Cricetulus griseus: one gene and its partners. The protein of the gene in region 3 purifies or fractionates together with the protein of the main gene of each other region. This does not show direct contact. Links are inferred from orthologs where the notes say so. Each region holds a gene or a part of one and is shown on either strand. Other genes may lie near its edges. The genes, in order: Vps13a, Akap11, Vapa, Rassf3, Osbpl9, Lsg1 and Ptpn12.

Evidence for each region.
Region 1: the proteins of Vapa (region 3) and Vps13a purify together in Homo sapiens (co-immunoprecipitation; 3 studies listed by BioGRID and IntAct, counting the BioPlex papers as one, with this or other methods). This does not show direct contact. The link is inferred for Cricetulus griseus from reciprocal best matches to the Homo sapiens genes VAPA and VPS13A.
Region 2: the proteins of Vapa (region 3) and Akap11 purify together in Homo sapiens (co-immunoprecipitation; 3 studies listed by BioGRID and IntAct, counting the BioPlex papers as one, with this or other methods). This does not show direct contact. The link is inferred for Cricetulus griseus from reciprocal best matches to the Homo sapiens genes VAPA and AKAP11.
Region 4: the proteins of Vapa (region 3) and Rassf3 purify together in Homo sapiens (co-immunoprecipitation; 3 studies listed by BioGRID and IntAct, with this or other methods). This does not show direct contact. The link is inferred for Cricetulus griseus from reciprocal best matches to the Homo sapiens genes VAPA and RASSF3.
Region 5: the proteins of Vapa (region 3) and Osbpl9 purify together in Homo sapiens (co-immunoprecipitation; 5 studies listed by BioGRID and IntAct, counting the BioPlex papers as one, with this or other methods). This does not show direct contact. The link is inferred for Cricetulus griseus from reciprocal best matches to the Homo sapiens genes VAPA and OSBPL9.
Region 6: the proteins of Vapa (region 3) and Lsg1 purify together in Homo sapiens (co-immunoprecipitation; 4 studies listed by BioGRID and IntAct, counting the BioPlex papers as one, with this or other methods). This does not show direct contact. The link is inferred for Cricetulus griseus from reciprocal best matches to the Homo sapiens genes VAPA and LSG1.
Region 7: the proteins of Vapa (region 3) and Ptpn12 purify together in Homo sapiens (affinity purification with mass spectrometry; 3 studies listed by BioGRID and IntAct, counting the BioPlex papers as one, with this or other methods). This does not show direct contact. The link is inferred for Cricetulus griseus from reciprocal best matches to the Homo sapiens genes VAPA and PTPN12.

Annotation. Positions count from the first base shown.
Region 1 is NC_048596.1:44,422,956-44,426,455, reverse strand, and holds part of Vps13a (vacuolar protein sorting-associated protein 13A), read right to left. Parts: intron 2,496-3,500; coding exon 2,403-2,495; intron 1,814-2,402; coding exon 1,457-1,813; intron 1-1,456. UniProt on the Homo sapiens protein: Mediates the transfer of lipids between membranes at organelle contact sites. Binds phospholipids. Required for the formation or stabilization of ER-mitochondria contact sites which enable transfer of lipids between the ER and mitochondria.
Region 2 is NW_023276807.1:232,869,898-232,873,397, forward strand, and holds part of Akap11 (A-kinase anchor protein 11), read right to left. Parts: coding exon 1-3,500. UniProt on the Homo sapiens protein: Binds to type II regulatory subunits of protein kinase A and anchors/targets them.
Region 3 is NC_048595.1:454,567,821-454,571,962, forward strand, and holds the start of Vapa (vesicle-associated membrane protein-associated protein A), read right to left. Parts: upstream 2,801-4,142; 5' UTR 2,723-2,800; coding exon 2,644-2,722; intron 1-2,643. UniProt on the Homo sapiens protein: Endoplasmic reticulum (ER)-anchored protein that mediates the formation of contact sites between the ER and endosomes via interaction with FFAT motif-containing proteins such as STARD3 or WDR44.
Region 4 is NW_023276806.1:135,460,596-135,464,095, reverse strand, and holds part of Rassf3 (ras association domain-containing protein 3), read right to left. Parts: intron 2,891-3,500; coding exon 2,781-2,890; intron 304-2,780; coding exon 154-303; 3' UTR 1-153.
Region 5 is NC_048595.1:40,620,708-40,624,978, reverse strand, and holds the start of Osbpl9 (oxysterol-binding protein-related protein 9), read right to left. Parts: upstream 2,801-4,271; 5' UTR 2,765-2,800; coding exon 2,654-2,764; intron 1-2,653. UniProt on the Homo sapiens protein: Interacts with OSBPL11 to function as lipid transfer proteins.
Region 6 is NC_048597.1:58,872,325-58,875,824, reverse strand, and holds part of Lsg1 (large subunit GTPase 1 homolog), read right to left. Parts: intron 2,499-3,500; coding exon 2,378-2,498; intron 1,782-2,377; coding exon 1,695-1,781; intron 466-1,694; coding exon 379-465; intron 1-378. UniProt on the Homo sapiens protein: Functions as a GTPase. May act by mediating the release of NMD3 from the 60S ribosomal subunit after export into the cytoplasm during the 60S ribosomal subunit maturation.
Region 7 is NW_023276806.1:173,416,284-173,420,478, reverse strand, and holds the start of Ptpn12 (tyrosine-protein phosphatase non-receptor type 12), read right to left. Parts: upstream 2,801-4,195; 5' UTR 2,723-2,800; coding exon 2,624-2,722; intron 1-2,623. UniProt on the Homo sapiens protein: Dephosphorylates a range of proteins, and thereby regulates cellular signaling cascades. Dephosphorylates cellular tyrosine kinases, such as ERBB2 and PTK2B/PYK2, and thereby regulates signaling via ERBB2 and PTK2B/PYK2.

The DNA of each region.
Region 1 (3,500 bases), on a different chromosome or scaffold from region 3:
ACAATTTTAGTGTTTGAATGCCTGGCACTTCTTGGATGCCTCAGATAAAGTCCTGTACAAAATACACATAATTCTAAACACAATTTGAAAATGTGCAGTAGTCAAAATCAATTACAATTGTGTTAGTACATAATTCTTTATCATTTCATGTAAAAATAGAAACTTTTAAATATCAACTCTCACTCTTTTAAGGTAGATAACCAGATTGCTTTTCAAAAAATATCAAGAACAATAATTTTATTTAAGTATCATTGGAGAAGATTGTATAGACTTTCTTCTGTTTCTGCAGTACTGGTATTAAAATTAGTGCTATACACACATTAGGTATACATCCTATTACTAACCTATATTCCCAGTCTCTTTCTTAAATTAATTTTATCTGAAATATCCATGGAAATAATTTTATAAATTCTGAGGAAAACATGTTTACTCTGATTCTTTTTTTTCCTCTTTAAAATTTTGGGAAAGTTTGGGATTTGAGTATAATGTCTCACACATTCTAAGCAACTATACACTTCAAGAACATCCTCATTAGAGACTCTTTAAAACTTGAAAGAGCTTACTCAGGTATTCATAAATTTAATCTACCTTTCCAAAGGAAAAAAAATCAATTTTAGATCTTAAAAATCAGAATTTTTAATTTTATATATGCATATATGTGTTTGACTGTCTGTCATGTGTGTGCCTGTGCCCAGAGGTCCAAAGAGGGAGTTAGATTCCCAGAGAGATAGGGCAGAGTTGCAGGCAGTTGTGAGCTGCCTGATATGGACTCTGGGAACAGATTCTGGTTTCTGGAAGATCAAGAAGCCCCTAAATGATGGGGGATGTCCTTCTGTATATATGTTTCTCTTATTGGTTGATGATCTTATTGGTTGATGAATAAAACATTGTTGGCCAATAGGCAGGAAAATAGGCAAGACTAGGAGAAGAGGAGAATTCTTGGAAAGGTAGGTAGGCACAGTCGCCATGTAGCCACCAAAAGAGGAGAAACAGGTCTGGACATTCTCCAGTAAGCCAAGACCACATGGAAATACTTAGAATTATAGAAATGGGTTAATAATTAAGACAGAGCTAGTCAATAAGAAGCCCTAGTCATCAGCCAACAGTTTCATAATTAATACATGTCTCTGTGTGTTTATTGTGGGGCTCAAGGGTAGCAGGATCTGCGAGACAAAGAACCTCTTGTTACACATACATACTAGGCTGTCTCTCTAGACCCTAATGTACCACCTTGGAGGTTTGTAAAAATCAGCTGAAACATAAAGCATGGGTATGTAATTTGAAATTTAAAGTAATATATAAGCAACCGCTCAAGGGCATAAATGTGTAAGCTTTCTTCTAAAAGGTATAAAGCCAGTATCAGTATTTACAATAAACTAAATTTAAATAGTGATATAAGATCCCAGAATATTCTGTGTGAAGCATCTTAAACCTGAAAAATTATATACACACTTACTTCCAGCTCAAGCTGAATGTGGAGATTTATTAAAGTACTCCAGTTTTTGCTTTCCCCCAAAAGGCGTGACTTTGCCAATAGCATCGGCACTGTTCTATGACCAATTCCAGCTTCGAGAACTATGAAAATAGAATCAATATTCAAGTTCAGTGTCTCTCCTCCTGGCATCAATTCACTTGTGGGAACTACTTTTTCTGTTTCATTTGATTCCTCTAGAAACCACATTTTCAGATTCTTAGTATCCTTCTTGTCCCATAAATGTGCTATAGAAGAAGTCTTTTCTTCTGGGATGGTTTCTTTAGTTGTATAAAGCACAGAAGTAATAGTTATTATGGTATTTATGATAACCGGTGAAACCTAAATAGAAAAAACAATTTTAAAATGGATTACATATATTTGCTGAATGAACATGAAGAATTAAGGCCAAACTAGAAAAGCACTACAGGACAATAGATAATTTTTTTTTTTTATTTTTTGCCTACCATAATTTTTTACTACAAAAATTTTTAGATAAATTTGTCAAAGTATTTGTAAATATTGTTTTTATTAACCAACTAAATATGACTACAATTATATATATCCTAGATATCCGCTACAAAAGTCGTATGTCAATAAACTATAGCATTCATCATAAAATTTACAACAATATCTTAGAAACTTTTCATATATATATATATCCAAATAATTATTCATTTTGTGAGACAGGGATTCTAACTTGGGCCCTGTGAATGCCTACAGAAGTGCTTTACCATTGAGCTCAGTCTTTTTTCTGGTGGTAATGGTAACGGTTAGACGGGATCTTACTAAATTGCCCAGGCTGGCTTACACCTCAGTGGTCTGTACTTCAGGCAGGCCTGGAACTTATGATTCTTATACTTTAGCCCCTTGAGCAGCTAAGACAGATCTACCATCAAATCAGTTTTAAATGTTTATGTTTTTAGCTTACCTTTAGTGTAAGAGATTTTACTGATATGTCAATCATTTGTGGATCTGTTCCAATCTGAGTAGCCTGATAAAATAAGTCACAAGGCTGTAAAACCTATAAAATACAAAATATTATTAAACTGATATTTAAGCTAAAATGTTTCCACTTAAAGTCTTTCCTCGTAATAGATAATAACATTTAAAAGTAAATAATCATACTTATAAGTGAATCAATACACTATTATTTGCTATAAAAAGAAAGTTTGGCTCTACAATAAACTATCTCCTATTCCCTTTGAGAGTCGTGGGTTTTTTTTTTTTTTTTTTTTTATGTATTGACAATTCCCATGAAACATCACTTGACTCTAAGAATTTTAGAGCTTTAATGCTGACATGTTTTTACTGGCAGGGTCCCTAGGCAGCACATGTAATCACATGTCAATAGATAAGGAGTGTACATATGTACACACACAAACACAAACCTACCTTAACATTTAAAAAATATGCTTAAATATTTGAAAAACATAGGAAGCTCTTAGTACGTCATTTTTTTTACCAAAAGTCTATCGTACTTTTTACATACAGTAAAATAAGTGTGAAAAGGCCAATATTATAGGAAAAGCTAAAACTGCAAAGCACTAAGAAAAATAATAAGTATAAATAATCACTAGGAAATTCTGAGATTATAAATGAACTTTTTCCTAATGATGGAAAGCAGAACTGTAACCACTAGACCCTTGATTGTCACTTCTCTGCCAAGTGATATTTCACCATGTTGGAAGTTTCCTAAGGGTCTCATTCTAACACAAAGACCCAAATCTCTTCAAAGATCTAATGATATCTCATTATATACCTTCATCTGTACCTTTCCTTTTACTCTAAATGCAAAATCTCAATTATCTTTTAATAATTCCTGGACAAACATTAGGTGTGACTTTGGGGGAATAACTTCTCTATGGAACTGTAACACTAAGAGTGGGTAATCTGCCTTAATTATTAGTAATAAACAATGGTGGAAAGATACAGGGACAATAGTTACAAGTAGTTCAATTCAAAGTGACTCTTATGTCAAACACATTTCTTGATTCAAATTCTAATCGTAGGAATAATTTTTCGTATC
Region 2 (3,500 bases), on a different chromosome or scaffold from region 3:
ATGGATCCCGTGTCCTTTCACAAGGTTGGTAGTTACAAAGATGGCTGCCATTTCTTCTTCTTTGTCTTTTATCTACTTCCTGACAATGCTCTTTATTTGAGGTCAACAGTTCCTTGCTTATTTTCACATCAGAGCTGTGCAAAGGGAACATTTTTGAACTGCACTTCCTTTTTACTGTCTTAGCTGCTTCTTGCACTCCAGACTTGACAGATCGATAGGCCAGTCTACTGGCATACTGGTCCATGAGTAGTTCACCATTGCCACCTTCCTGTTTCAGCACTTGGATAACATGACCTGCATACTCATCAGTCACACTTTCACAACTGGGATACCTGTATGTCAGACCTGGCACACAACTTGGTAATGAAAGAACAAACGGGTCTATTTCTCTTGGATACGCAACATCCTCCATATCCAGCTTCTCTTCTGCTCTATCACGGTCAACATCAACATGACAATTGCTCTTCTCCTGCCTGAAAAGCATACAACTTCTAGCGTTTGCAATTTTCTCGGCCTCTGCAATGACATCAGCTGCCAAAACACTTGCAAAACTGCATGTCTGCATGTTTGCATCAGAATGATTTAAAGAAGCAGACAACACACTTCTTTGACTCTGCACATTCAAGTGAGGATTCTGAGCCTTGGATTCTTGAGTGATTTCATGATCTAACTGGGAGGCTGCCATTTCAGTTGCAAGAGAAATGATGTGGGTAGCTAATGCTTCTGCAAAGTGTACTTTCTTTCCTGAGCACTCTGACTTCACATCCATTTCTGGGTGCTCTTCACCTTCACTGCTGTCAACTTCTTCTGAAAGAGATCGCATAAGCTTCAACATGAACTCTTCTTTTTCTATAGGATTTTGTTCATTCTCAGACAAACTGCCAGCAGAGGAGTTGTGAGGTGTAGAAGGTGGTGTTGCAGGTGCAAATTCTTTGGCTAACTCCCCCTTGAGCTTTTTGGTTAACTTTTTTATGTCCCATTCAGAACTAGTCTGGGATGGTACTAAAGGAGTTGATGGAGGAGTATCAGGTATTACATTTCTGTCTCTGATTTTCTGTTTGTCTTCTACATGCAAACCATCTACACAGGTGAGCACTGCAGATGATAAAGCATGTGAGTGACGGAAAGAGCTTTCCAGCCCAAAAGACAAGGGTTCAAGTGTAGTATTATTCAAATTATGCCTTTTCACTGGTTTATCCTTCACAAGTTCCTTCAAGTCAGATTTCTGACTTGACATCATTGAGCAAGGTGGCAGTGACTCTAAAGAAAATCCAAACCCCACAGAATCTTTACATTCTGGAACACAATGCTTTCCGGCCAAGAGTGAACAGTGAGGTAAGTGATCTGTAAAGCCAAGAAATTTGGGAGATTCCTCCAAGATCAACTGAGATTCTTCCCCAAGAATAGGCACAAGTTCCGTACTAACTGTTTTGTTATCTATATTTGGAAGCATTGATTTGCTTTTATCCAGGGAATGTTTAATAATTGACTTAGATAACTGCTCAGCAAACATGTCCTTACTGCTAGCTTTGCTCTGTTGTGGTGCTACTTGGTCACAAATGGAAGGAGGACAGACTTTTTCCTTTGTTTTAGTTAAATAATCTGAATGTGCATCAACAGTTTTTGTAGTTTTGAAGGTTGTCATGGACTCTAAGGTTTCACTGACTATTGAATGTACCATTGCTGCCGAAAAGTTGCTAATAATCATAGAGCCACTAGTTATTTTTGAAGGACTCTGTATGTCAGTATCACCGTTGGTAGGTTTGAAGTCATTCTGGTTACATGGATTGAGTTCTGATGGTAGAACAATGTCTCTGAGACAATCCACTTCCTCTTCACTGCTTTCTGTGGTGATGTGCTCTTGGGTAGAACCATCATTTGCTTTACTATGCTCAGATGATGGATGAGACCTAGACTGATACAAAGTAGATGAAATATGATACGGGAGAAGAGCACTACCTGCCAAAGGTACTGGTATGGAAGTGACAATTCCAGAAGTACAAAACAAGGCCTGCTGCACTGTATATTCCTTCTTATGTTCCTGCACTGGCTTTGTCATAATTGCTTGACTGCTGAAGGATGAGGAAAATGTGAAGGTCTGTGTAGGCAGCACTCCACTTTCTGCACTCGCATAATTAACATTACCCATTGAAACATTAACTGCTGCCTTTGTTGTGAAGGTCACATCAGTCTGTGACAGCTCTATGAATGCTTCTTGTATTACAGATTCAGACAAATCTTTGGCATATGACTTCACGACTTTGTCTTCAAAGTCAAATGATGGACACTTTGATGCAGGTGTTGGAGGACATGAAAACTGACACACTTCCATGATGCCTTCAAAAACAAGCTCTTCTGCAAGGTCCGCGGCAAACCTAGCAACTGTGTTTGTAAACATCTGCTTTTTCACGTACTGCAAATCTTTCAAGGCATTTGATAAGGCTTCACTAACCAAAAGACTTGCCAGGCTACCAATGGCTCGTTCTTTCAGTGAAAATGCACACTGCCTTCTAAGTTCGTTAAATGCCATCTGAAAAACAGATGATGTCAATTTGACAGCAAAGTGGCACAATGCATTGGTACATGAGGAAACTCCTTTCTGTAAGTCTTTAAATGCATTGCCAAAACTTCTTCCTACAAGATCTGCTGCAAACTTCTGAACGCTGTCTGTAATCACTGAAGATTTGTTTTTATATTTACTTTTTTGATCAGAGTTCCCGTGCTTAAAAGCGACAGGATAATCTTCTCCCCTTTTAATACTATTAGTATCAGACATTGCATTTACACACTGAGTATGAAGAACTGAGCCTAGTACTTCATGTGAAAGATTATTTGCATAATCTTCATAAGTGCAATAAATAGGATCCTGGTTTTCATAGCTCCTATCTCTACCAATATCTGTTTGGCAAAAACATTCAGCAGGAGTACAGCTTCCAGGAGGACTAAAAGCAGAGGCTCGAATAGGGCTAAACAAGCCACTGTCTTCTGATGCCATCACTGGACGAGGGGAATCTGGAGCATCACACAGGTGTCCATATGGAGACTCGGGTTTTCGTGGAGTTGGCTTTCTAACATTAGCTGGAAGAGCTGGACGCTCAAACTTGAATTTCTGAGGATTCATACAAGATTTTTCATGTTTGTGCCCAATCTTCTGCAATGACTTCTCTATATCAGGATCTTTCATAAATGGACAAGAAGTCTCTAAAGTTTGCTCTAGTTCATCAAACTGATCAAAGCTATCAAAAAACTCACTCACTTCTGAGTCTGAATCCTCTATATCATCTTTTGTCACAGGGATTTCAGGCAGTTCAAGTTTTGCTTTTAAACTTTTTTGGTATCCCTCTTCATCCAAAAAAATTACAGGACTTGGGCTTGAGCACTCAGACTCTGAGGAGTGGGCAGGAGAAGAAGGAAAGAGTATCTCCTGTGTGTCCCTGCCTTTATCTGAAGCACTGGGTGACCTGTAGAGACTCCTTTGGGTCCAGGGTTCTGAAACTGAT
Region 3 (4,142 bases):
CAAATTTTGTAATACATTAAACTTTAAGGACAAAAAAGCTTTTTCCATGAAACATCTAATTTCAAATCTAAATTACTAGTCAAATTGCTGGTAGGGTCAAAAAAAATGTTTTACGATCTTTTTATGCACAAAAGCACTAAAAGGTATGCTTCAGAATTCATTCTACAACCATAAAAGGTTTTCTACATTTTGCTAGTTAAAATTTTACTAAGATGGAGATACACACAAAAAAATATACCTGCTTTTCCAAAATCGTGAATAGTAATAACTCTTATCAAGTCATTACTCATGTTAAAGGAGAACTGTCAATCTCAGAATGGTTGAATGAGTCACTCCTGAAGGTACCATCACAACATAAATGTTGAATCCAAATAATTCAAATAAACCTACCAAATAATCAAAGAATTTTGCAAAGGAAAAAGCGTAAACAACCTACACTAAATGAAAAAAAAAAATCAGTTAAATAATTTCTGATATAGTCACCAAAGGATGCACACTTGGATCCTAAATCACCCTACTAGTGTAGAGCTGTGCATTTAAAGACAGACGTCTCCATTGTACAGAGTAATCTGTGACTGACAAAGTAACGTTAAGGAGGAAAGCGCCAAACCCCAAATGTCACACTCCTACTTCGCCCTCTCCCTATCGTCTCTGCTTGGCCCACCTTTACAAGGACCTGCACTTTAAGTCTGAAGTCTCCTCTCCTCAGTATTTACCCCTCCCTTTGCATAACTCTCCCCAGCCCCCGGCCGCTTCACAAGAACCTTTTCCCTTAAAAGATTCATTCCTTCGGAGAAAAGCTGCTTTCCTCAAACACCATTTATATCATCTTTTTGGTCTCCCTCACTAGTCTTGGATTGTTATTTTGATAACACAATAGCCTGTTGGAATTATTTAACGTCAGAAAGAAACGAGTGGATAAAGCACAATGCACTATTTCTTCTGGTTTTTAAAACCTGCCTCCTAAAATGCTTTTCACACAGGCTATGCAGTTCAGAAAATTTCCTCGTGAACTGTCAAAGGGGAAAGCAAACTACAGCATCATGAAGATTTACATTAAATCGCTTCAACTAATGATGACTACTTTAGTACAAACACTTGAAGGACTTCTCTGCATACCCCCACCCAACCCCCTTCCAAAAATCAGGCAACAGAAATTTGCTGCAGCAAAATGTACGCAAAGTATCTGAGGTTCTGAGGCACTGTCTAGTGTCTATGTAACCCAGTCTTGTTTCAAACGTTCCATGGTTCCTGGCTGGCCTCCAAAACGCCGGGATTAGAAGCGTGGTTGACCACCCCTAGTTTCAAAGGTATTAATTAGCCCTGCCTTAAAAAATCAAGCTCTTGTCAAATGAGGAATCCTGTAAGTCTCCATTCAGAGAAACCTGTAAATGCACCGAACACCTGCAGTGTAGGAAGTACTGCTAGCAAAACATCAAAATCTTTGTAAGTCCTAAACTATTTAAAATATAATTTAAAAATGGTTCCCACGGGGACAATCCAGCTATTTTCATTCGGACTCAATCTTACACAATCATGGACTCACTGTTTCTTTTAATACTAGAACTGCCATGCAACAACCCAAGGGAAATCGTTCTCATCACAGTTCCTAAAATTAAAACCCCAGGTATTAGCTAAAGAGAGGGAGGAGCAGGTCCTTTTAGCTCCACATCCTATCAGGAAACCTTAAAAATTAGTACGCTGTACGGTTCAAGCTTCTCTCCCCGCTACGTAGCCCACAAACCCACACACACACGGAGACGCCCAGGGCCCTGGATCTGAACCGTCCGTGCTCCACCGTCAGCAGCCCCGGCGCGGCGTGGCACCTTATCAGCTTTCTCGGGGTATGCTGGGAAACCGCAAACGCTCGAGTCGCCGACACCGAGAACGAACCCCTCGGCAAAAAAAAAAAAAAGACGGCGTGCTCCCCCGCCCTCCCCGCACCCCGGGGCTGGGAGCCCGGGTGACACCGGGGACCCGCTACCCGCGACCTAGAGCGCTGCAAACCCCGAGCTGACGCACACGCAGCCTCCCGCCGCGCGCTTGGGGCCCTGCCAGCGCCCGGGGTCAGTCCCAGCCCGACAGCGCTGGGGGCCTGGGGCGCCCCCGAGCCCCGCACCTGACCCGGGAGACCCGGGGCCAGGCCCGCGCCCGCCCCGCCCGGCCCTGCGCGCCTCGCCCGTGGCCACCGACGGCCGCCCGCAGACGCCGAGCGAAGCTGCAGCTCCCGCCGCCGCCCGCAACGCCCGGGGGCAAGGGACGCCGGCGCGGCGGCGGGTGGTGGGCGAGCAAGGCGCGGGCGGGTTCCCCGCGGCGCCCCGCGGGCTGCAAGATGGCGACGGCGCGCGGCGGCGCCGGGCTGAGCCCTCCGCAGCGCCCTGGCTCCCTCCCCTCCCTCCGCAGCCCGAGCGAGCGAGCGGGCGGGCGGCGGCGGAGAGCGAGGCGCCGGCCGAGGACGCAGCGGGGCCGACGCTAGGCGCGGGCGTGGGGGAGGGGAGCGCGGCCCGACCGACCCGGCCTCGCCGCCGCCGCCCCGCCCGCTCGCTCGCTCCCTCGCCCAGACGCTCGCCCGCCCGCCCGCCGACCCCGGCCCCCGCCCGGCCCCGGCCCGGGCCCCGCTCGGGCGCGTCCCAGCCGGCTCACCTTTGAATTTGAGGTCGGAGGGCGGCTCGAGGATCAGGATCTGCTCGTGCTTCGCCATGGCCCCGGAGGCGGACGCCATCGGAGACAGCGCAGAGCGGCGGCGCGCGCGCCCGCGGCGGCGGCGGCGGCGGCGGCGGTTCGCTGGCGGCGGCGGGCGGGGGCGGCGGGCGGCGAGCGGCGGGCGGCGCCGGCGGGGCCCTAGGACGGGGCCAGGCTCACGACGGGACTGCCGAAGCTCCGCGCCTGCTGCCGCCGGGGCCGCGGGTTCCGAGGGCCGCCTGTCGCGCCAGCAGCTCCGGGTGTCACAACCGACTCAACCCCACACCAGCCGCCGCGGCCGCGCGCGCGCACTGCCGGCCTCGGCTCCCCACACGTGACGGGCTGGACGCGCCGACGTGCGCGCCGCCGCGGCCCGGAGCCGCGCGCCGGCCCGCCCTCCGGGCCTGACCGGGACGAGGCGGGGCTAATGCGCCTGCGCGGGCCCGGCCCGGGCTGCGGCTCCCGGCGCCGTGCGGCTGTCAGTCGTGGCGGGGCGGGGCGGGGCGGGGCGGGGCGGGCGGGGCGCCCGGCCGAGAAGCGTCGTTCCCGGTGCCCGGGAGCTGCGAGCGCGGAGTGCCGAGCTGGCGCGCCCACGACGCGGGGGCCTCACGGCGTTCCGAGCGGAATTCCGAACGAGAGGCCGTCAGGAAGGCGCCGCGGCCCTCGGCTCCCGGCATGCTCCGGGCGGCGGGAGGGCGGGGCCTGCGCGCGGGGGCTGCTGGGAGCGGGGAAGGAGGCGGCGGTCCGGTCCGTTGCGGGCGGGCGGGGTCGCTGGCTTCGGGCTGGCCCCGGGGCGTCTCGTCGGCCCTGGGAGAGGAGGAGAAGGGTTCCGCGGGCCCGCGTCCCGGTGGGAAGGCGGCGGGGCCCTCCATCTCGGGCCTCCCGGGGTTCCAAGCCGGCCTCCTCCCTCCCTCGTCTACCCGCAACCGAGCAGAGCCGGACCTAGAAACGCGCACCCCGCCCCAAAGCAAACGGGAGCCCGCGGGCAGGGGCGAGCGGGCGAGCGGGCGGGCCCCCAGCGTGCCGGCCGCCTCCCCTGAGGAGACAGAGCCTGTGCGCGAGGAGAAGCAGGCCAGGCAGCAGAGAGGCTGGCAGGAGGAGCAAACACAACAAATGGATGCGCTGTAAAACATGCACAGATAAATAAACCTTTGCTGCGCCCTGTGGTGCTGCCTGCATTTAAATCTCTAAGGAAGCTCCAGGCGACAAGAAGCACCCTAGACTCCCCAGGACGCCAGGGTTGGAATGGGTCGTCCCCACCCCTGAGGGTACCACAGCTGCTTAAGACTTTTTCAGTGCACTGCCCCTTTTCAGCTGAGAAGTTTTTAATGCCACTCTGGGTGTCTAGGATACATAATAGTGGTACAAAGCAAACACTGATAATAGATTGTAAAGAACTTTAAGGAATGACACTCCTTACTTGGTGTGTTAAAAAAAAAAATAAGACAGACCAAAAACTC
Region 4 (3,500 bases), on a different chromosome or scaffold from region 3:
CTGTGTGACCAGGCTTTGAGAACTGTGTCTAGAGAGAAAAGAGGAAGACCCTAGCATGGCGGGGCACGACAACAGCTCTCTGAGCAGAGGAAGCGGCGGCGGCGCTCTTTCATAGGTCCCGAGCTGTGCCATCCTGGCAGGACGCCCTTGGCCTTAGCCGGGCTTCCACACCTCGCCCAGGGCTTCCTCCAGCTTCTGCCTGTAGGCCGTATAGCGCCGCTTCAGGCTCTGCAGCTGTTCATCTTCTTCTTTGTCCAAGATACGCAGGAAGTTCTGCAGCTCTGGGAGGCTGAAGGCTTCCCACTGCGGGGGACAGAGAGGAATACGCCATGTTAGCTCAGAGCCCGGACACGATTACTTCAGTTCCCCCTCAACCCCCACTCCACAGAGACAAAGGTTCTGCTATGCAGCACAGTCTGGTCTTGAACTCAGGGCCCTCCCGCCTCAGCCTTCTGAGCGCTGCTTTTACAGCATGTGGCACCAAGCCCTGCAGAACACTGTCTATAATAATGAAGTGGGGACTACGGCTGCCCTCAGCAACTATAACGCTCCAGAGAGACATCGGCTCCCCGCATCTGCACCTGGAGTCGAGGTCTTGCCTTCTTCCCTGCCCACAATCTCATCAACTCCTGACAGTTCCGGAGTCCATCTGCTTTCTCACCCAACCTGTATCCCAGCACCAGCCTTCTCGGTCTACTCCTGCCCTCTCCAACCACCCCTGGCACTCCTACACACACAGCCGTGGCAAGCACTCATGGTTAAAAGCATACAGTTGGCACCCACTGAATGTTCACACGAAGCAATGTTGTACCTCCCCAGTCCCATACTCAGTACCCCAACTGGCTTAGGGCATGCTCTAAGGCTTAGTCACTAAGCCTTCGGTCTGTTTCTCCTATTATCTTACCATGGCCGGTTCTATTAACACTGGTTATCCCTAAAGCCAAGACTGCAAATGAGCACTTTTTCATCCAAATTTCCATCAGTGACAAACTGAACTCCATTTAGGACCTCACATGGTCTCCCTTATCACATTTGAGATGGGGGGGGTGTCTCTTAAGTCCCCTGTTTCTTTTACACACACACACACACACACACACACACACACACACACACACACACACACACACACACAGAGCCCTGCTTTGCTTTGCCTAGCAATTTCCTGCTCACCCTTCTCAGAGAGCATCTACCTTCCTGAGAAGCTTTTCAGGGAAGGATCTTCTACCCTCCCTTCCCATGCAAGGCTCTCATTTTGCCACTAAGCAATGACTGATGACAGTCCTTGTTTAGTGTCTCCTCACCTACATCTGCCCTGCATGGCAGCTGGGTGTGTCTCACTACTCGAAGTTCTAGTTCCTAAGAGCACCCCCCCACGTCAGATGCGATATTGCATGCACACACGCACGCATGAGCACACACACGCAGGCGCTACATTGCACGCACAGATGTGCACACACACAAGGTAGGAGAGGACCGTGAGGTGCATCAGTGGGTAATACTATCTCTTGTCAGGCTTGACGACACACATGTCAGAGAGAACGGACTACTGCAAGTTGTCCTCTGACCTCCAAATATGTGCCGTGCCAAGTGCATGAGCACACATCCACACAAAACAATAAAATATAATTAAAACAAGCTTTTTTTTTTTTCTTTTAAAGCACCAACTAGCTTCACAAACCTGGTGATCTGAGTTCCACCCCAGGACCCACCTAAATGTGGAAGGGAAACATCTCCTGGCTGTCCTCCGATCTCTACGTGTATGTATGCTATGGTACACATGCCCACAAACACATACATACACACACACACATACATACATACATACATACATACATACACACACACACACACACACACACACACACATCATCATCATCATCATCACCGTCTATCTATATGTATGGATGCACACACACACACACAGGTTTTCAATTCAGAGTTTCTCTGTCCAACAGTCCTGGCTATCCTGGAACTCACTCTGTAGACCAGGCTGGCCTTGAACTCATAGAGATCCGCCTGCCTCTGCCTCCCGAGTACTGGGATTAAAGACACGTGATACCACCACTCCGCTAATAATAATAAATAATAATAATAATAATAATTTTAAAGGAAGTATTTAGTATCACTTTATAGATCACTTTGAGGGGAAGGCTAGAATAATTAGAAAATTAGCCTCAGGTCTTATCCCCCTCATCTAAGCATAGTGTTTGTCTCCTGATGTCTAAGCCAGCACGCCTGTTCTCCCAGCTTCACGGACAATTCACACTTCTGACGTCTGGGGCCATGGCCTGGAGAGTTTGTCCAGGACCACTGAGAGCTCCAGATGATGTACAGCGCAGCCTGAAATGCTTCTCTGTGGACACCCCAGTACATTGTCCCTGGAGAGACAGGGATGCTCTTGCAAACAGAACTCCCGGGTCCTGGGCTGGTTGAAGAGGGAAGCAGATTTCCTTTATTTCCCTGTAGAAGGAGACTGGCCTGGAGTCTTAGGAGCAGATGTAGAGGGGAGGCCCAGCTGGATCAGTCATGTGGGGCTGGGAAGAGGTGACAATTGCTCTTTGCATAGCAATGAGTAAGAACTGCTATGTCCTCTGGCTCCTAAGGAGGACACAGCAATATAATGTCCTAAGAGAATTATGTTGTACGCTAACGTGGGTTCATTTCAGACGATTCAAAAATCTCACCCCACCCTGCTCCCTCTCGCCCCACCTCCTTGAGGCAATACAGCAGGCCGGCTGTTCTGTGTAGTTTGATGCCTTTGTGAACAGTTCCTCTCTTACCTCTCCAATTTCATGTTCTCGAAGAACAAAACTAAGCGTGTCGGTTCTGGGTCCTGCTACCAAACGCAGGTAGAGTGGGTGTTCCCGGTCGGAGAGCTTGCAGGCATACACTAGGAAAGACGACAAAGAGCATTTAACAGAGGTTGCCAGTGATTCTGAGACAGTGCCCCCCCAAATCCCCATCCTGACATCACAGCAACAGTCCACACCCCCACACCCCATCCTGACATCACATGAACAGTCCACACCCCCACCCCCCATCCTGACATCACAGCAACAATCCACACCACCCACACCCCCACACCCCATCCTGACATCACAGCAACAGTCCACACACCCCCACCCCATCCTGACATCACAGCAACAATCCACACCACCCACACCCCCACACCCAACCTGACATCACAGCAACAGTCCACACCCCCACACCCCATCCTGACATCACAGCAACAGTCCACACCTAAACCTCTACATCACCATTCTCTCACCCTAACACCAAGGGCCCACAGTGAACAAACTGCCCAGTATGCACCATGCCTTGATGAGGAGGAAATGAGTTACAATAATAAAATAAAATAGGAACTTGCCTCAAATGTGGTTACAATTCTGTCCCTCCTGTCAGAAAGATGGAAAACTTCTGTGGGGGCTGGGGGTGGGAGATCTTAACCCCTTTAAAAACAATGAGAATATCTCCACCAAACAACATGAGCCCAAAGCCCT
Region 5 (4,271 bases), about 410 Mb from region 3:
TTTGCAAATAAGAAAGATGTATATGAATAAGAGTCAGAGCCTTCTTCCTCATGGAGCGTACCCAGAAACTGGCAAGTGTCTGGAAGTGGGAACACACAGAGGCATCGTCACTAACTGACAGCTGCTCTGTTGGATTTGATTTAATTTGTCTGATGTACTAAAACAATGACAGAACTAGATGCCCGAATTCAACTGGACTCTTACTCTCCTTTGGGCTATCATTTTATTCTCACAAGCTAGTACACTTCTCTGAAAGCAAATAACAGAAGCATGGAGGAGAAATGTTTCTAAACAGCCATTAGTGAGAAATATGATCCATCCTTCCCCTAGCAAGGATGTTTCATAGAATCTAATCTCAGAAGGGAGGGCAGTACTAAGGAAGAAAAAAGAAGTCTATGAAAAACTTCTATTTAGTCAGAAGGACAAGAAGTCCAAGCACTCCAAATCTACAAGGACAAGAAGACAAGAGAGACAGGGAGGGAGGAAGGAGGAGAAGAAGGGGAGAGGGATAGAGGTGGGGGGAAGAAAACAAGGAAAAGGAACATTTTGTCGGGGCTAGGAGCTCCCTAGAGCCCTAACTTGGGACCTCTGCAGGATGGCCCTAGATTCAGACACACACAAATTTGAAGAGGAACTTAATTCTAAAGTGCCACTAATTGAAATTACTTCATCATGAATACGATGGCTAGGTTCCATGGAATTTGCTGGATAATCACATTCACTTGATATTATTCTTTGAGTCATAGGATTTCATAATTCTTCAGTTTTCCATCCTATATAATCTTAAACAATGTGGTGTGTGTGTGTGTGTGTGTGTGTGTGTGTGTGTGTGTGTGTGTGTGTGTTTGCTTTTGAGTGGTTTTGGTTTGAGGTTTTTTTGTTTTTGCTTTTGTTTGTTTTTTGAGACAAGGTCTCATTAAGTACCCTAGCCTGGCTTAGCCTTAAAATTTGCAATCCAAAACGTGGAAATTAGGAGGTTACATATATGGGTCACTATATTCAACTCTGAGCAATGTTTATGTCTCAGTAAAGTTTGATCTTTTAAAACTAATGTAGAAAGGGGGGCTAGGAATTTTGGGTCAGTGGTAAAGTGTTGTCCTAGCATGTTCAAGACCCGGGGCTCCAAAACAAATGAAAATAATAGCAGGGCAGTGGTGGCACACGCCTTTAATCCCAGTACTTGGGAAGCAGAGTTATGTGGGTTTGAGGACAGCCTGGTCCACAGAGTGAGTTCCAGGACAAGCTTACACAGAGAAACCCTGTCTGGAAAAACCAAAATAATGATGGTGATGATGATGCAGAGACAAGAAGTTCACATCGGAAGAATGACAAAGGCAATGCTCTTTTACTCTTGCAGGCCCACCTTAATGACTTGCAGCATTTACTTTTCTCCCTTCCTGTAGCAAAAGAATAACTTGATGGGAATCCTGCCTCCACCATTTATAGCTACCTATGTGATCTTGAGCTAATTACTTAAAAGCCTGAAGCCTCGGATTCCAAAACTGTAAAATAGGGACAGTAAATGGGGATAATGAATACCTATCTTGCAAATGAATTACAAGTAAATGAATTAAGGTGCCCACTAGACTACACTAAAAGCTCTCGAGAAGACAGGCAGTGCCTACACCGCTGTTGATTCTTGAGGACATGGGAACAAGCAGAACAGAAACTCAATGATATTTTTAAATGAATGAATAAACTATGTATCCCTATTTCTCTCATCAACACTAACCCTTCTCCCATAACTGTATTTCTTCCTTTTTCTTCTATCATTTTCTAAAGCCTTCAAGACATTCTATATTTTGTCCTCCTGAGTGCTTTTCTTTTTCTCAGAGGCGATCATTAACTATACAAAGAAGTAGCCCCGTTAGTAATTTCTCTAACACCATCCACCTTCCATCCCTAATGCGTTGGGGGTGGAAGAGGCAGTCAGAACACAGGTTTCACAGCACTTCATCTACCTACCCAGGGCCACGGACTCCTGCCAACAACAGTCAGTCAAAGCGCATAGTCGGCCCTCCCCAGAACACAACTTTCAAGGCAACCGCACCATCCCTGTCTACATCTCCGCAACCAGAGCCAAGACTCGCGCAGAGGGAATCCTCTGCTCTCAAAAGTTAAGAGTCCGTTACACTCGCGCCCCGCTGGAAAGAAGAAGGGTGCATCCCCAGAGTATGTAGGACTGCGGAGCTGGACAGACGGGAGGGACTTGAGAGCCCGTGCTGTTGACGAGGGTCACCTTTGGACCTGGCCAGGCTCGTCTGACCACTGCTGCGAGAAGGCAGCGCTCTTCGAACCCCGGAGGAACTAAGGGGTGCGGCCGGTGTCCAGCAGGGAGGCAACGGGATGAAAGTGTGGATCGCACGGCTGACAAGCAGCACCGGGGCTACGCCCACCCGCACCTCGCCACCGCGCAGACCCCACCTTGCCCCGGTACCACTCCCTGAGGCACCCGGCTCGCCCCCCGGCCCATGAATCAGCCAGCCGGCGCTGCTCACTGGCTGGGTCCGCATCTCCCTCCTGGTCATTGGCTACCCGCACGCAAAGCCCTCCTCCACAAGGGAACCTCGCGTACGGCGGTCCCCACAGCGGAGCACCCCCGTCCCGGCTCCCCGTAGCCCGCCGTTCCAGCCGCGCGGCCTCAGCCACTCACCGTGTAATAGGAGAGCAGCCCTGCATTGTAGTCCAGTACGAACCAACGGTACTGCCAGCCCTTCATCACGTTAGTCCATTTGCTCAGCGGCCCTTCCACGATAGACGCCATCTTGGGAGCCGCCAATGACAACAAACGGCCTGACGTCAGTCGCCTATAAGGCATTCGCCATGCAGGGGGCGGGGCCCCGGAGAGCCTAGGCGGGACCGGGACTTGGGTGGGCGGGGTCAGGGGCGGGGCCTCCTGCAGCCGGTGGACCCACGCCCCTAGCAATCACAGTCAAGCATGCTTTCTTTCTCTCTTTGCCTATTGTGTGTAGAGCGGGTTGTTATGGGGGAGAGCGAGCTAAGAAAGCAAGCGTGAATATTATGTTTCCAAGCCGTGCGCGATGGTGTCAGTAGTTCAAAGCCAACTCAGCTAAGTAAGGCTGTCTCCAAAAAAAAAGAAAAAGAAGGGAGGGAGGGAAGAAGGAAAGAAGGAAGAGGAAGGGAGGGAGAGAGGAAATGGGGAGGGAGGGAAGAAGGAAGGAAGAACCGTAATCTCAAAAGCAGAATCGAGGCACTGCGGTTTAAGAGCAAGTACCGCTCTTGCAGAGGATCCGAATTCTGTTCCCAGCACCCACACGAGGGGTGGGGGGTGCTCAGAACTGCCTATAAACTCCAGGCCATTGGAACTGAGGTCACCTTCACTTGCATGCAAATATCACTATCCCACGGAGACGCACATGCTAAAAGTACATATAATTAAAAATAAATCTTTTTTTTTTAGTTCAAGCTCATCTTTGGCTGCATAATGAGTTCAAGAGTAATATGGACTACATAAGACATTCTTTAAGATTATTCACATAAGAACTTTTTGTTTTCTTTGACATAGAATCTCTTTGTAGTCCTGACTGTTCTGGAAATCACTCTGTAGACCAGGCTGGTCTTGAACTCACAGAGATCTGCCTACCTCTGCGTCCCAAGTGCTGGGATTAAAGGCAAGTGTCAACTAAAAATATTCTTCTTGTTTTTTTGTTTGTTCATTTGGTTTGGTTTGGTTTTCTGGGACAGGGTTTTTCTGTGTAGCTCTGGCTGTCCTGGAACTCACTCTGCAGACCAGGCTGCCCTCAAACTCAGAGATCTGCCTCCTGAATGCTGCGATTAAAGGCATGCACCACCACGACCCAGAGCAAGAATTCTTTTTTTTAAGAATGCAGTGATTGATTGGGAGATGGCTCAGAGTACTGGCTGCTCTTCCAGGGGACCCAAGTCAGATTCCGAGCACCTAAATGAAGGCTAAAAACTATCTGTAATTCCAGTTCCAGGGATACAAAATCCTCTTCTGGCCTTCATGGCCCCAGGCTCACATGTGGTACACAGACATACATGCAGGCAAAAATAACCATATACTTTTTTTTTGTACTGTAAAGGAAAAGAACCCAGTAAGGACTGAGAATTAAACATACAGCTTCATACATGCCAGGCAAGCGCTCCACCCCTGCTATAATAATCAAAGTTCTTTAGAGTAGCAGAACATATGGAATGTGTGTGTGTGTGTGTGTGTGTGTGTGTGTGTGTGTGTGTACATACATATATACATATAAATGTATATAATGACTGACAGGCTTCAGTCCAGC
Region 6 (3,500 bases), on a different chromosome or scaffold from region 3:
TTCATCTATCCCTGCACTGAAGTATGAACCTAGGATGTTACACATGCTAAGTAAGTGTTCTAACAACTCAACTACCCCTCAGACCTAAAAAATAAACACTATAATTTAAGTGTCTATGTGAGTATATACAGGTGCCAGCGGAGGCCAGATCCCTGGAACTGGAGTTATAAGTGGTTGTGAGTTATCTAATGTGGGGGTTAGGAACCAAACGTGAATCCTCTGCAAGAGTCGTAAGAGCTTTTAACTGCCAAGTCATCTCTCCAGGCCTGTATTTCCAGGAGTTATTTTTAAAATTTCTCCAGAGCCGGGAGCATAGTCAACATTAGGCTCAGTAACAACACTGAAATGTCTTCATTAAACAAGGGAAACATTACTTACCTTCTCTCAATGACCCTCCAGAGCTGGCGCCAAAAGTCCAAATTTCGTTCAAAGGGAGTCAATATCAACTTTTGTTCCTCTTCTAGCCTGGCTTTAGAATGAGAAGGTTACATCTCTGTCTCATCAAAATAGTTTTTAAAGAATTATAAACACTCAAATTCAATACATTGAGAAGCTACATATCCAAATACTATAAATTATTATTATTATTGTTTATTGTCCTTGCCAGGCAAGTGCTCTACCATTTAGTCACATCCTAGCCAGTCTTTTACTTTTTTTTGTAGCTTAGGAAGGCTTTGAGAATTTGCAATCTTCCTTCTCAGCCTTCTGAGTAGCTGAAATTACAGGCCTACACCACCTGACCAGGCTCCATCCAATTATTTTCATATACCCATTGTTGAGTCAATACAAGAATAAAACTTAGTCATATTATATTCCACAAATTCAGATTTTATCCTTACACCGCAGGAGTTCCTCTCCCACAACTTTTATAGAAGAATGCTCAGAGGAGTACCTCTGGGCCACAGAAGGGAACTAAAAGGGGCATTGGGAGAGGTGAGAACTCCCTAATGGCTGACTGCTTTGCTTCTCTGATCTTCAGCTTTAACGCAGTAATCTGTCTCTGGGTTTTTATTATTGAGAACAATTGGAATTTAACCTACAGTAAGAGCACTGCTGCTCTTGCAGAGCACCCACATAGCACATTACATCACTCATACTCTAGTCGCAGGGGATCTGATGGCCCCTGATCTTCTGACCCCTGCTGGCAATGTGAGCACATGGTGCGCGAGCGCGCGCACACACATGCGCACACACACACACACTCTCTCTCTCAAACACACACACATAAAATAAATAATAAGAAAAGACTAGGAATAGAGCAGAATAACCACCAAACACCTTTGTGCACAGCTGCACCTGCACCCAGCAATGCTGTCTATACACATACATACATACATACATACATACATTCATACATACATACATACACACACACACACACACTCCCAAACTCACCTGTAATAGACACTACCACCCTCCCCACACCTGAAATTGCATTTTATTTATTTATTTAGCTTGCATGTTTAGAGGCCAATGGACAACTTGGGGGAGTTGGTTCTTTCCTTCTGCCATGTGGGTCTTGAGAACTGAACTTAAATCAGAGCTTGCCGGCAGGTACTTCTACCTGTGGAGCAATCTCACCAGCCCCAGTATTACCCTTTAAAAGAATCAAAACTTCAGGAGGCAAATGGCAATGCAAGCTGAAATGCCTAAACCCAGGGCTTCCAGGCAAATCTTCAGAGTCCAGTACTCACCGGACAAGCTGACGTCTCCATTTTAGGAAGTTATCTTTCTCTGCCTGTTTCAGTTCTTCTGGACTAGTTTTTCTGTCCCAATTGGGTCTGAAATAATCACAGAAAGGAAAAAAATTATATATAAATTACCAAAATAAAAAGAGAATTTGGATGTAAATGGCAGCTGAGAAGCAGGAAAATTATGAACAACTAATAATTTTTTTTATTATTTTATGTGTATGACTGTTTGTGCCTGCAGAAACATCACATGCCCCAGAACTGGAATTACAGACAGCTGAGAGCTGCCATGTAATCTAGTCCTTTATTTATTATGTATACAATATTCTGCCTGCATGTATGCTTGCACACCAGAAGAGGGCACCAGATCTCATTACAGATGGTTGTGAGCCACCATGTGGTTGCTGGGAATTGAACTCAGGACCTCTGGAAGAACAGCCAGTGCTCTTAACCTCTGAGCCATCATCTCTCCAGCCCCATTCTCTGTCTTCTTTTTTTTTTGAGGGAGGGGGTGGTGTAGAGGAAAGAAGTGATTTCAAGACAAGATTTCTCTGTGTAGCCCTGTCTGACCTTGAACTTGGAAATCTACCTGCCTCTGCCTCCCAACTGCTGGGATTAAAGGTGTGTGCCACTACCACCTGGCCCATTCTATGTCCTCTAATGATCTTAATTCTTGTTCAACTTACCTCCTCGGTATAGACAAGAACTGTCTGTTTTCCTCATGGAGTTTCTTAATTCTCTGGCTCTCCTCAAAAGACAGCAGTCCAGATCTAGCCTCAGGGAGCACGAACTTGATATTAAGCTTCTCTATTCAAGGAAAGAAAAATGCTATTTGTCAAGATGCAATCCGGAGGCTGAGGATGTATCAGATGCTACAGTGCCTGCCTAGTAAGCATGAGCCCTGAGTTCCACCCCTGGCACTGGGTGACTGGGTGTAGTGGTACCCACCTGCAATCCCAGCACTTGGGAGTGGAGGCAGGAGGATCAGGAGTTTAGGAAATCAAATTGAGTTTGAGGCTAGCCTGGGCTACATGAGAGTCTGACTCAAAATCCAAAACAGGTCTTTTAGAGTACTAAATGCTGATCATTTTGATAAGTTTGAATACTAACTACTTCCTAAAACAGAATTTATACCTTCTTAGGTTAATTTTTACATTAATTTTTCTATAGAGATAACTTTACAAGAGAAAGATCTTCACTAACTCACTAAAACCCCCCAAACACTAAGACTTCATTGGGTACCACATTATAAAATCCTATGAGGTGAGTGGATTTCAAGGAAATAGAAACAGTGACAATGGGAAAGGATTATAAAGATTCCATGTAACAGTCTCCTCATTTTACATATGTAGAATAGTTTTAAGCTAATAGGAGTAGAGGCAAAGATTTAGCAAAAGACATTCCTTCCATTTAGAACCATCATACTATTATGGTTGTAATTTATATAGATATGTGTTAATGTTCATTATTAGTGACTATATCAAATTAAAAAAATCAAGTGATCTTGGGTGAACTGGTAATAATAGAGAGATGTGTGCTCTTGGGCTCTAACCCTCGGGCTGCTGGAGCAGTTCCTGTTTCACCGTTCAGTCACCATCTAGACTGCATGCATGAGAAGAGAACACAAGGAGGCAGCTGCACTTCCTCCTGAAGTGGCAAGTGAAGGCTCTATTTCAAAGCTAACATCTTCAGCAACAATCCTCTTCACCTTGAGCAAGGGCTGCAGTCTGCTACCCATATCAAACCATCACAACACTAAGTAAGAGCCTGCACTCTTGTAACCTACACTACTGTTAACCCACCCGATTC
Region 7 (4,195 bases), on a different chromosome or scaffold from region 3:
TCTAAGCGGTTAAATAAATCAATATAATTAAACAATTACAATATATATACTTATACATTACTGATGAATGGCTGTATAAAGTAACTTTTTTAAAGTTGTAAACATATGTAAATGTTGTATCCAGACTTAGTACTTCCTGTACAGAGATACTAGGCAATAAACAATGCACAGGCTTTATTCATATTTATCAAAGTATTTAATAGAAAATACAATAGACTAAACAGTCAACTATAAGCAAATGGTTAAACTGTTTAACAGTCACATAGTGACACAGCTACTTAAGTTATTCCTAGAAAGTGGTTGTAATTAATAAAAGACACCAAAATCTAAGTTAAAAAACCCCCAAAGACAAGAATGTAACACAGGTATAGTGGGCTCAGACATTTAATCTCAGTATTAGGGAGGCTGGGGCAGGGCTACCACAGGTTCAAGCACAGCCTGGATTCAAAGTGAGATCAGCTCCTGCCCCTCATTACTTTATAGAAACAGCTGTAACAGTGATAATACCTTCTAAGACTCTGCTATACAATATTACGATTTTAAAATGGAGTTTTTATCCACATCAGAACGTAAGAATAACCAGTCAGAATTTATCGGATTATCTTTGATTCTCTTTCCATGACAGAGGATAGTTCCTTTCCAGCCTTCTAGTCAAGGGAAAAAAAAGCACTCAACTGCCAACAGTCTTAATTATAGCTGTTGCTTATCAAGCCAGGAAATAAAAAAAGCAAGCACTATAAAAGAATAGAATTACCTAGCTATACTTTGGTATTATGGAATAGGAACAGATTTGGTCCTTGTGAAATGACATCTTCAATAGAAATCCCCGACTCAGCTCCAAAGCAAGAACGGCCTACATCACCACACACAGTGCTCCTTGAAGAGTATGTCCATGAACAGCAAGGTGACAAGCATGCAAACGATGAGCAGCCAGGGACCACATGGTCCCTTCCATAATCAAGAAAGGCTGAGGGCCATCAGTTTTAAACATCCTAAATAAACTGTTTTCTTCTACATTTCCTATAGGGTAGTAAAAAGACTATCCAATTTTGTAAACGACATCATTTAAAATTCTTGATGGTAGAAAGGGGAAATTATACTTTAACCTTTATAGATCAAAAGTCCCTTTTCCAAACACTACCTAAATAACAAAAAGTTTAAAATACAGGATAACTGGATTATATGATCTACCCTTTTCAGTCGTCACCATATATTAAACAAAGTCTTGGTCCTACTTTCTGTTTTTATAAATCGGAGGTGGAAACCATAAAGCTGCATAATACTATCAATACCGTGACAACTTTAACGCTGAAGTCTTAGTAGACAAAACCTACTTGTGTGACCTCACCTGCGTTTTGAAATAAAAAGCGGCAACCACGTTCCGTGCCCACTCGTTTCTACAGACCTCAACTTTTCCTAACCATTATTTCAGACTTAACTACATATAATATATATATATATATATATATATATATATATATATATTATATATATATATTCCTTCCAAGTGCACCTTGTCTAGGAGTACTTTTTTTTTTTTTTCCTAGCTCATTTCCCAGCCCCGGACTTCCCAAGTCCCATTTCCTTTTCCATGCCCCAGACCTCCAGGGTTCCCAACGCCCCAGTCTTGCGCAACATCCGCAGGAGCAGCCGCCGCCGCCGCCACCGCCGCCTCCTGAGCCGGGAAACAACCCTAGAGGGAACATTGTCCGGCAGGCAGGAAAATACACGGAGCGGGAGGGGTGGCGTAGGAAGTCTCAGCCTTGGGGACTGACACCCCCATCCATGACGCACCGCAGCGATCTCACCCCCGTGACCCAGGGCCCTCGGCGGGAAGGGGAAGGGTATCATGTCCCGGTCCGGGGCTCCGGCCCCTGGAGTCGCCTCCACCCCAGCAGGACCATTGTTCCCGGCTCCCCGCCCCCACCCCGGGTAGGAAGCGGTAGTCACATCCCCTCCGGTCCGCAGCCAGCTTCCTTCAGGGCAGCCCCGTGCACACCGACCCCCACCCCGACCCCAACCCCGACCCGACCGGACCTAAAGTCATCCGAGCCCCACAGCCACCTTCAACCCAGCTCTCGGGAAAAGACTGTGCGGGACAGACGGACGCCGGTCAGGTGAACCGCGAGACACACGCCTGTCTGTCTTGTCTGCCTGTCTCACGGACGACCCTGGGCGAGCGGTGACAATAACCGTGACCTCCTCGCACACCGCACGTCCGTCTGTTCGGACCGGGGGCCGGCCGCTTCGTCTCGACCCTCCGGGGGCCGGCGGGTGGGGAGGAAGGCAGTCGTGGGAAGGAGAGCCCGCTTGCACGCTCACCCGCCCGGGAGACAATAGGTGTTGGCGGGGCCGGGGCCGGGGCGGGCTGGGCCCCGACCGCTCCCTCCGCTCCCGGCGGGCGGGCGGGCGGGCGGACGAGCGCAGCCCGGGCCGCGGAAGAAGGAGGCTGAGGGGCGGGGGCGACCTCGCCTCCAGCAAGCTCGCCCATTGCGCTCGCTGCTAGCTGGGCGCGCGACCCGCACACAAAGCGCTGGCAGCTCGGGCCGGCCGGGCGAGATTCGGGGCGGGCGGGCGAGCGACACGAGGCGACGGTGAGGGCGAGGGCGAGGCGGACACTCACCATGAAGTCCCGGGCGAAGTTGTCCTCCCCATTGTGGTCCGGACTCTTCATGGCCTGCACCCTCTGGATGAACCTCCGCAGGATCTCCACTTGCTCCATCCTCCCGCGTCCCCCCCGCCGTCCGCCCGCGCGCCGCAGCAGCGCCCGCTCCGTCTTCCCCAGCTCGCTCCGGCCCGTCCGCCCTCCCTCCCTGTCTCACCCTCCCTCCCTCTCCCTCTCTCTCTCTTGCTCCTTCTGTCCCCGCCGCGCCCGGCGGTGCGGCTGCGGGGGCCCCGGCCGGCTCCCCGCGCAACTTGACGAGGAGCGGCGGCGGCGCGGCTCTGCAGTCTACGGGCAAGCCGCAGGCTAGCGCCGGCCCCGGCCCCTTGCCTGCCCCATCCTCCGTCCCCGCCCTCCCGGCCCCAGACGCCGCCGCCGCCGCCGCCTGAGGAACGCGGCTCTCCGCTCGCCCTGCCCCCTTCCGGTCCTTCCTCCCCCACCCCCGCGGCAGGCAGCCGCAGCCGCTTTCCCCCGGCGCCCCGCCGCGCCGGCCGCCACCCAGACGCGCGCGCGCCGAGCGCACGCCCCGCCCAGCCCGCCCGCTGCTCCGCGCTGATTGGCTGGAAGCAGCTTCCGGGGCGTGTCCCTGATGGGGGGGCGCTCTGCATCGGCAAGCGGGGCGATCCGGGTGGGTCACACGGTGAACTTCCGAGGGGCCTGGCGCTCCCCTGGCGGAGGGAGAGCGGACCCCAGCGCGCCCGCTCGCCCGCTCGCCCGCTCACCCGCTTGCAGGACCCCGCCTGCCCGGCCTGACTGCCGCCGCCCGCTGGGTGGGACCGAAGTATGCTGGGAACTGTAGTAGAGTCCCCGCCGCCTCTGCCCGTGGGTGCTCCCCTAACTGAATGAGGCGTGGTGAAGCGCACCCCAGGCCTTCTGTTTGCAAATCCATTTTAACCCCAGTGTGAGCCAAAGCTTGCAGAGTGCTTCCTTGACATCACATGCACGGAAGGAACCCTGTTGGCCAAGTGGGAGACGATATATCTTCCTTCGTCCGCAGAAGAGCCTCTGTGACTCCCATCAGAGAGGACGCTGAAATAATCTGTCCTTTCACAAATAAAGTGATTTTCCCCAAAGTACACCCCCACCCCCGGCATATTCGTGTAGACTCAGAACTAGAGCGCAAGTCCCTCTCCTTTGACTCTGAGCCGCACACACTGCCTCTCGAAGGGACGAGATTTTGTGGTGGTAATGTTGCACAACTGGGATTCGATCCATAGACTGACTTTGGTCCCCTACAAGCACAAACAACATGTTTTCACAGAGCAGGTTGCCAGGAAAGATAGGGAGTTAAGATAGGGAGTATCAATGCAGGATACATTTCCTGAACTAATGTTTGGCAGCACCATGAACTTTAGTTTGAAAAAGTTGACAACAGATGTGAGTAGCAATATACAATTACATATTAAAATAAAATACAGAAAATAATGCACCTAATATATGCCAATACATTTCTCTCAGAATTATGTCCTTGCAGGTGTGTCCTTCCAAATCTTTCTATTCCCTACACTTTTTGTATCTTTCCTTTTTTTTTTT